2 linked regions of the Caenorhabditis elegans genome follow. The protein of the gene in region 1 interacts with the protein of each later gene in a pairwise test. Each region holds a gene or a part of one and is shown in the gene's direction. Other genes may lie near its edges. The genes, in order: trp-2 and ahcy-1.

The links.
Region 2: the proteins of trp-2 (region 1) and ahcy-1 interact in a two-hybrid assay, tested with the Caenorhabditis elegans proteins (one large-scale study listed by BioGRID).

What each region holds. Positions count from the first base shown.
Region 1 is NC_003281.10:989,637-994,883, forward strand, and holds the start of trp-2 (Transient receptor ion channel domain-containing protein), read left to right. Parts: upstream 1-2,244; coding exon 2,245-2,456; intron 2,457-3,250; coding exon 3,251-3,323; intron 3,324-3,693; coding exon 3,694-3,792; intron 3,793-4,413; coding exon 4,414-4,758; intron 4,759-5,247.
Region 2 is NC_003279.8:6,834,311-6,838,640, forward strand, and holds ahcy-1 (Adenosylhomocysteinase), read left to right. Parts: upstream 1-2,158; 5' UTR 2,159-2,174; coding exon 2,175-2,396; intron 2,397-2,464; coding exon 2,465-3,220; intron 3,221-3,288; coding exon 3,289-3,624; 3' UTR 3,625-3,830; downstream 3,831-4,330. Other genes in the region: teg-4 (Splicing factor 3B subunit 3), read left to right, coding at 48-92; dpf-3 (Dipeptidyl Peptidase Four (IV) family), read left to right, coding at 4,044-4,217, 4,264-4,330. UniProt on the Caenorhabditis elegans protein: Adenosylhomocysteine is a competitive inhibitor of S-adenosyl-L-methionine-dependent methyl transferase reactions; therefore adenosylhomocysteinase may play a key role in the control of methylations via regulation of the intracellular concentration of adenosylhomocysteine.

The sequences.
Region 1 (5,247 bases):
TTTCGCGCGCGCGGGAATACTTCATTTTTGTTGAATATGTGTGTATGTATGCGCCACACACTTTTTTGAAATTCAATTTATTTCGCGTTTCCCCCCTCCCATCCTCCTGAAGCTTAAGCCAAAAAATGGGGAGGGGGGAAGATGTGCGAAATTCTGTTATCTCTTCTTTAGCTCCGTGGAGCACAAGCTGCTGCTGCTCCTGTGCTGCTCTCGTCTATTTCTCAATTTTTGTTCTTTTTCACCCCCTTTTTGCTCCAGAATCCCATCGTCGTCCCCCAATCATGATGGCTTAAGACCCCTCCTAATGAAACATTTTTCATTATTTGGTTTTATGGAAGAGTCTTGGAGTCCTGGGAAATTTTTTGAATTTCTTACATTTTCAGCTTATATATTCCGTCAATTTTGAGTTCCGACACAGCTGAAAGCATAGCTACCGTACCCCGCGTGGCGAGACCCAAAATTTTTTAAATTGACGGAATATAGGCTTGTTGGGGGTCATTTGAAAGCTTACAATGTCCTAATCATAGAAATTTTAGTTTCAAATCTAGAAAATTAAACAATTTTTAAAAAATTGGGGAAAAATCTTTTCTTTTTGTTTTTTTCTGAAAAATCGTTTTTTGAAAACTTTGTGTGAAGTGTTGGTTCCTGATAGTGAGCATTTTCATAAAAATTTTTGACTTCCTTACATTTTCAGCTTCAAAATGACCCCCATCATGCCTATTTTCCGATCACTTTGGGTTCCGACACAGCTGAAATCAGAGCTACCGTACCACGCGTGGCGAGACCCAAAATTTTAAAACTAACGGAACCCAGGCATGATGGGGGTCATTTGAAAGCTAGAAAAAATCTTAACTTGATTTTTATAATCTCATTTTTATAAACTTAATTTTTTAAAGAATTTTTGGAAAAATCTTTTTTTTTTCGGAAAAAAATAGGACAAAAAAATTCAACAATTTTTTAATAACTTTTAATAACTTTTTGATCTCATTTCAATTATTTCCAACAATTTTTCCTGTCAAAGTCAAAAACTACACATAATTGCTGTTAAACTTTGCGGAAAAGTGATGGAAAAAGCGCAAAAATTATGAGCGTCTCCGGGAGAGAGATGTGTGTTTTAAAACGCGCATTATTATGCTCTCGGCGGAGCTTGTGAAGCTTAAAGTGTTTTCTGGTTTTAGTAATAGGGTTTTTAGAAAAAAAATTGTGTCGAAAATTTATTAAAAATTTTTTTAAAATGTTTTGCTGCAAATTTTTTTAATTCGTATTTTTGCAGCTTTATTCCCTATTTTTCGAATTTCTCATTTTCCTGGCTTCAAAATAACACCCATCATGCCTAGTTCCCGTTAATTTTGAGTTCCGACACAGTTGAAACCACAGCTACAGTACCCATCGTGGTGAGACCCAAATTATAAAAATCGATGGAATATAGGCGTATTGGGGGTTATTTTAAAGCACTCGATATCACAAATGTAAATAATATAAATTCAAATTTAAAAAAAAAACCAAAAATTAATAAATTGTGGAGAAAATATAAATTTCTTCAAAAATTTTTTTTTTGAATATTTTTTGAATATTTTTTAAACACCCACTTAATTGTAGGTTTTTTTCCGTATCAGTTTTTGAACTTTTTTATTTTAGCTTCAAAATGACACCCATCATGCCTAGTTTCCGTCAATTTTAAGCTCCGACACAGCTGAAACCACAGCTACAGTACCCCGCGTGGCGGGACCCAAATTCTCGAAATCAAAGGAGTATAGGCAATATGGGGGTCATTTTGAAGCTATTGTCGTTCTGAAATTAATAAATAAACTTCTTTAAAGATTTGAAAATCGGTTAAAAAAATTTTGGAGGATTGAAAAAAAATGTTATTTAAAAAATGTTATCCAAAAAAAATTTAATACAATTTTTTCAGTATTAAATTTTAGTGTATTATCTTTTTGAAATATTTTTCAAATCAAAAACGTCCCTAACTAAAATACATTTTTCCGTCAGGCGATCTGGAGAAAATAAAAATATTGTGCTCTAAAAAGTGTCAGATTTCAGATATTTTATGACACTTTTTCTTTTTTTTTTGTAATTCCCTCCAATTTTAAAATTTTTTCATAAAATACGTGGTTTTCTGATGCCCTTAATTTTAGCGGTAAATTTTAAAAAAATTCGGAATTTCTTTGTTTTTTAATTTTTTTCAAATTTCGTCCCAAAACATCGCAAATTTTCCCTAAACCCTTCCATTTTCCAGCCAAAATGACATCATCAGAAGCATCCGAGTTTCGGATGATTGAAGATGACGATGACGTCAGCAACAATGTCACGTGGACCGAGTCGGACAACTCGCGGCTCCGCGAGAAGCAGTTCCTGCTCTCCTGCGAGCGGGGAGATATTGGGAGTGTTAGGAAGCTTTTGGCTGGAATTTCAACGGAAACTTTTAATATAAATTGTTTGGATCCGCTTGGCAGGTAGGTTTGATAAAGTTTGAAAAAATTAAATTTTTGAAAAAAAATTTTTTTTTTCGAAATGTTGCAAATTTCTTTACAATTTCTACAATTTCTTTCTTGAAAATAAAAATTTGAATTCAGCACCCCGAGAGCTTTCAAATAAGCCTCATCATGCCTATGATTTGTCAATTTTGAAATTCGACACAGCTGAAACCATAGCTATACTACCCCGCGTGGCGAGACCCAAAACTTTCAAAATTGATTAAACTAAGGCATGATGGGGGTCATTTAAAAGCTGAAAACGTCGATAATTTAAATTTTTTGAAATTAGCTTGAAAAATGGAAAATTTTGCAAAATTTGAGGAAAAAAGAAAAAATTTTTGTTTTTTGAGGAAAATTTTCTCGAACTTTTTAAATTTTCTCATATATTTATTTGCATTTACGATACAAAAAGCTTTCAAATTACATCCAACATGCCTTGTTTACGTCAATTTTAAGTTCCGACACAGCTGAAATCAGAGCTACAGTACCCCGCGTCGCGAAACCCGAAAATTTCAAAATTGACGAAACTTAGGCATGATGGGGGTCATTTAAAAGCTGAAAGCGTTGTAAATTCGAGTTTTATAAATAAAATGCAATAGCTCTAATATTTTTTCGAGAAAATTTTGAAACTAATAAATTTTTGAAAAATTTTTTTTCAACATTTTTTAAACTTTTCTTTCCCCGAATAAAATATATTTTATAGCATAGTACACTTGAATTTTTACGGGCTCCGCGAGTTCCGGTTTATATCTTATTCCCCCTCCCGGTTGCAGAAACGCGCTTCTCATCGCAATTGAAAACGAGAACATCGAGATGATCGAGTTACTATTGGACCACAATATTGAGGTTTCGTTTTGCACACTTTTTTAAAGAAAAAAAGCATTTTTAAAATGTGCTCGAAAAATAAGCCTAAAGTGAGAAATTCTGGAAAAAAAAATTTTTTTTTGAAAATTTTATTTGGAATTTTTTTTTTGGAATTTTTTTTTTGGAATTTTTTTTTGAATTTTTTTCGAAGCCCTTAATTATTTGTTTTGAAATTTATTATTGTATGTCACAAAAACAATTTCTGCAACAGAAGCCAAATTGAAAATCTGGGCAAAAAAAAATTGTTTTTCACAGATTTAAATGTTTTTTTTTTCAAAAAAATTGTTCTACTTCGAAAATCTAAATTTTTAACTCATTTTTTGTTTAATTTCCAAAAATTTTACAATTTCAGACCGGCGACGCAATTCTCTACGCAATTGGAGAGGAAAACGTGGAGGCGGTGGAGATCATAGTGGAGCACCTGGAAAAAATGGACAAATTTGACTCGGAGGTACTTTTTTCGAATTTTTTATATGAAATTTAACGTAAAATTTAGTTTCAGCGCACTGAGAGCTTTCAGAAAAGTATAATCATGACTGGGTTCTGAGAATTTTTAATTTTTCGGGAAAAAAATTGGGTCCCGTCGGGAAAAAGTCTCGGGGTACTGTAGGAAGCGAACTTTTCATTTTGGATTAACTTTTATAACAAATTCAGATAACTGGGTTAATTTTGAGATAGGTTTCAGGAAAATTAACCGAAAACTGAAAAAGGTACGAATTTTCGAAAAAAAATTTTTTTTTAATTTTCACAAAATGTTTTTTTTAGAAAATCTCTCAAATTGAAATTTTGAATTTTTCACATTTTAAGCTTCAAAATGACCCCCATCATGCCTAGTTTACGCCATTTTCATGTCTTGACACAGCTGAAACATAGCTACCGTAACCCGCGTGGCGGGACCCAAAATTTCAAAGTTGGCGGAACCTGGACATGATGGGGGTCATTTGAAAGCTCTCAGTTAGCCCAGTGCAAATATTATAACATTTTTGTTAAAAGTTCAAAAAATTGGTTAAAAATTGTACTTTCAAAAAAAAAACATTTTTTTTTGAAAATTTGAAATTTTCTGAAATTTCAGCGCCAAGGAGTGGAGATCACAGAGCACTCAGCATTTACTCCAGACATCACACCAATAGTGTTAGCAGCTCACAAAGACAATTACGAGTGCATAAAGCTGTTTTTGGACAAGAAGGGTACGGTACCCCACCCCCATGACGTCAGATGCTCCTGCCCCGAGTGCTACGTGGCAAGGGAAGAGGATTCTCTGCGACTTTCTAGGTCACGGATAAATGCCTATAGAGCACTTACAAGCCCGTCGCTCATCTGTCTTTCCGCTCGAGACCCGATTTTGTACGCTTTCGAGCTGAGCTGGGAGCTCAAGCGGTTGAGTTTTATTGAAAATGAGTTCCGCACAGATTATGAGGTGAGTTGGGAGGGGAAACAGTTTTTTAATAGGATAGAGCATAAGAAGAGCTTTCAGAAAAGCTTAAATTAGTATAGGTTTCAGTTGGAAACTTTTCTAAAATTTTGGGAAAAAACCAAAAAAAAATTTTTTTTTTGAGTTTTTTTTTTCAATTTTTTTTAGTCTCAAAAATAGTGAGATACTGTTTTTGTGTCATTTTTTGCATTTTTCCCATAAAACTTAAGCTTCCGTCTATTTTTTTTCTCGAAAAATTAGCTAAAAATCTTCAAAACTAACAAGGTTATGAATTTTTGAAAATTTTTTAAAATTCAAAAAAAAAATTTTTTTCTAAAATTTAAAAATCGCTAACTCCGCCAGTTTTGTGCATTTTCCGCAGTTTAGTGTAAATTGAAAGAGATTTTCTAGATTTTGTGATAAAAATACTACCAAAAACATTTTTCGTACTAGATACAGTACCCCAAGAGTTTTCGTGGTGGGACCCAAAACTTT
Region 2 (4,330 bases), on another chromosome or scaffold:
ACTACAAAAAATTTCCATATTATAGCCTAAATTAAATTAATTTTCAGATCTCAAAGAAGTTGGAAGACATTCGCACTCGCTACGCCTTTTAACATAATTTATTTATTTTTATTTGTTGAATTTCTACATTTTTATTTCATTTTTAAATGTTTTTTCTCCTGATTCTCTCATTTGATCTTCGTTTCCTCCCGTCCCAACCTATTCCCATCCTAAAATTATAAATTGTTAAATAACTTTCTTAAAAGATTTTTTCAGGAAATCTCTCCTTTTTACCTTTCACTAATATTCTTTTACTCCTTTTTTGTTTCTCGTGCGCCGATTGTTAACAAGATCACCATGATATAATCATTGAGATAAGAGAAGAAACATAAAATATGAGACATTGTGAATGGCGTGATGTGTAGCTGATCAGCTGTCTGGAATTCCAGATGAGGTATACGGTCGAAGTGGGTCTAGAAAAATTCGCCTTGCCAAAATTTCCGATACTAAATTACAAAAATCATTTTCCGGGAAATAGATATCTCAGAGAAACTGCACCGGATTCTCAGCATTCGAGGATTTTGGAAAAACCAAAAGAAATTTTATTTGGAAAATTAAATGAAGTCTATTCTAGGAGATTAAAACATTAAAAAGTTTATAGAATTCTATTAGACATTAAAACCACCTGAACTTTGCAAAATTGATAAGCGAAACCTAATTGTCTACGAAATTGGCGGCGGAGGGCATTTCGAAAAAAGAACTACGATAAGAAGTGACCTTGGATGATAGAAAGTAAGAGATACATAGATCTCTAATAGATTCTTCTAGAATTTAACGAGATTTGCAAAGAAAATTTTAGTTTTAATTGTAATGAGCAAAATTATATTTCAGAACACAGTTATATTTCAGAACATATCACTTAGAAATTTTGAAACTGTCCCGGTCGACGTCTTGCATGAAAAATTACATTATCCAAATTGAGGCGCCACATTGTAAAAAATGTGTCAAAAATAGAAAATTAATTTTTGAATTTCCCTCGCTTTCCTCTTTCTCTGCTTTCTCTCAAGCTCTTATCATTCCTGCACATCTAACATAGAAAAGTACACAGAAGCGGAGAATGAGAGACGCAGCACATCCACGACGAAAAGTGGGCGGAGACTGATGTGGCACAGGCATTTGGGTGCTATAAAAGGCCGCCGTTGGGCCAGAAATAACGCCGTAGGAATACGGGCTAGCAAAAAAAAAAGAAAGTGATTTTTCCCTTTCAGACTGAAAAGGTACTGAATCATTCTAGAACAAGAGGAAAGTGGGGGAAATCTATCATCGACGAATCCTAAAATTTAATCTGAAACGTGATATCCTTTTCTAGGTCGTACAGAATCTTCAAAGAAATCTGCGGTGGTGTGGAATTCAGGAAGGTCACTTTACCAAAGCTATCGGCCAAAGTAATCTTACATTTTACAAGGCTATCAAGATTTTATCGCCAATTCTCCATAAATAACGCTGTCTTGACGGTTGACGAGCATCGCAGGATGCATATCTCACCTCATGTGTCAATACGTTTTTTTCTTAAATTTTCTTTAGTAATTTTCAAATAAAAATCATCGTTTCGCGGCGAGTAAGTCCAAATTTTAGGCCTTCGTGGCGGGACCCACTGAGAAAAATCACTGCGCCTTTGATCGAAACAGTAGAAATTTCGAAAAAGCTTTCTTTTTGGGAAAAGTTTTTGCAAAGTTCCTCGCTTTGTTTTATGTTTAAAAGACCGACTAGTTGTAAATTTCTTCGTCATGGTTCCAGATTTAATAGATTTTCCCACATATTAAACTCTAAAACCTAAAAAAGTTCTCGTCCACTAACTATCTTCCGTATTTTCGGGTTTACTTATTTACACATGGATTATTGTTTTTTTCCATTTAAAAATTGATGTTTTGGCAATCCACGTAAGCCAAGGTTGTTTTTGTTTATTTTCGATTCTCTGATAAACAAAAACAACTTATAAATTGGAAAATAACCTTCTCACAATCAGTTTTTTTTTCTTCACAAACTCTTGTTTTATCCTTTTCACAGCCGAACTTTCAAAAAAGTGTCTCATTTTTTTTCTTTATTTCCGTCTTATGGACTTCTTCGCTTCTCTTCCCTATCCGTCCTGCAGATTAAAATAAATTTCTAATTATTTCAGGTAAAACACATTCGCAATGGCCCAGTCTAAGCCAGCTTACAAGGTCGCTGATATCAAGCTCGCCGATTTCGGACGCAAGGAGATCATCCTTGCTGAGAATGAGATGCCAGGACTTATGGCTATGCGCTCCAAGTACGGACCATCCCAGCCATTGAAGGGAGCTAGAATCGCCGGATGTCTCCACATGACCATCCAAACCGCTGTTCTCATTGAGACTCTTACTGCTCTCGGAGCTGAGGTAAATCTTGTTTTTTGAAAGAATTAGTATTAAAATAAGTTGGTTTGAAAAATCGAAACTTTTTCCAGGTCCAATGGTCTTCCTGCAACATCTTCTCCACCCAAGATCACGCTGCTGCCGCCATTGCCCAGACCGGAGTCCCAGTCTACGCCTGGAAGGGAGAGACCGACGAGGAATACGAATGGTGCATTGAGCAAACTATCGTCTTCAAGGATGGACAACCACTCAACATGATCCTTGATGATGGAGGTGATCTTACCAACTTGGTTCACGCCAAGTACCCACAATACCTCGCTGGAATCCGCGGACTTTCCGAGGAGACCACCACTGGAGTCCACAACTTGGCTAAGATGCTCGCCAAGGGAGACCTTAAGGTTCCAGCTATCAACGTCAACGACTCTGTCACCAAGTCCAAGTTCGACAACTTGTACGGAATCCGCGAGTCTCTCCCAGACGGAATCAAGCGCGCCACTGATGTTATGCTCGCCGGAAAGGTAGCCGTTGTCGCTGGATACGGAGATGTCGGAAAGGGATCTGCTGCTTCCCTCAAGGCTTTCGGTTCCCGTGTCATTGTCACCGAGATCGATCCAATCAATGCTCTTCAAGCCGCTATGGAAGGATACGAAGTGACCACCCTCGAGGAGGCTGCACCAAAGGCTAACATCATTGTCACCACCACTGGATGCAAGGACATCGTTACCGGAAAGCACTTCGAGCTTCTTCCAAATGACGCTATCGTCTGCAACGTTGGTCACTTCGATTGCGAGATTGACGTCAAATGGCTCAACACCAATGCCACCAAGAAGGACACCATCAAGCCACAGGTAAGAAAATGTTCAGAATTAGGATGAATTCACAATCATCGATAGAAGTTTGAACCAACTTTTTTCAGGTTGACCGTTACACCCTCAAGAACGGACGTCACGTCATCCTCCTTGCCGAAGGACGTCTTGTCAACCTTGGATGTGCCACCGGACATCCATCTTTCGTCATGTCCAACTCCTTCACCAACCAAGTTCTCGCTCAAGTTGAGCTCTGGACCAAGTTCGGAACTCCACAAGAATACAAGCTCGGACTCTACGTTCTTCCAAAAACCCTTGACGAGGAGGTCGCTTATCTTCACTTGGCTCAATTGGGAGTTAAGCTTACTAAGCTTTCCGACGAGCAAGCTTCATACCTTGGAGTTCCAGTTGCCGGACCATACAAGCCAGACCACTACAGATATTAATTTTGTTGGTTCTACCCCATACGGATATTTTTTTAACTGTTTTAAATTGTATTGCCCTCAAACTTCATATGATCTTGAACTGGTTGTATTGTTCCCCATCTACCCGCTTTTCCCCCAAATACATAATCGCCTGATTTAGTCGTTTTTCTTCAACTCGTTGATTTGGTTCTGTTGTTTGTCTTTTGGACATAAATGTTTTATGGAGTAACTTTGACGATTGTTTGAGAAATTATTCTGAAAACGTTTGATTAGGCGTGAGTTTATCGAATTTTCAGATCTACGCCCGGGAAATTTCAAGCAGGGAAAAACAAATTTTAAATTTGTCGGGGTGAAGGGCGCTCTATTGATAAATAAGTTCTTTATTTCTCTCAACGCTTCACTCATTTCGTGTTTCACTTTTTATATTTACAGAAATTCCCATGATGTTCAATTTTTATCAGTTTCTCTATAACCTGCAAAATGTTTCCCCATTTATTGATTTTTCAGTACTAAAACAACTTACCCACACGAAAATGAGGGAAAATGAGCCGGCAAGATTTGAGACTCGTTCATTCAGTCAATTAATAGATCATGCAAGAAGTTGGAAGACGGAGGTTCGAAAAATGATTTAAAAAATATTATTTCGATAAACTGATTCAGGTGCGCGGCATGACAACACAAGGATTCACAAAAATTAGCCTCATGCGTGCAGAAAAAGATCGTCTCA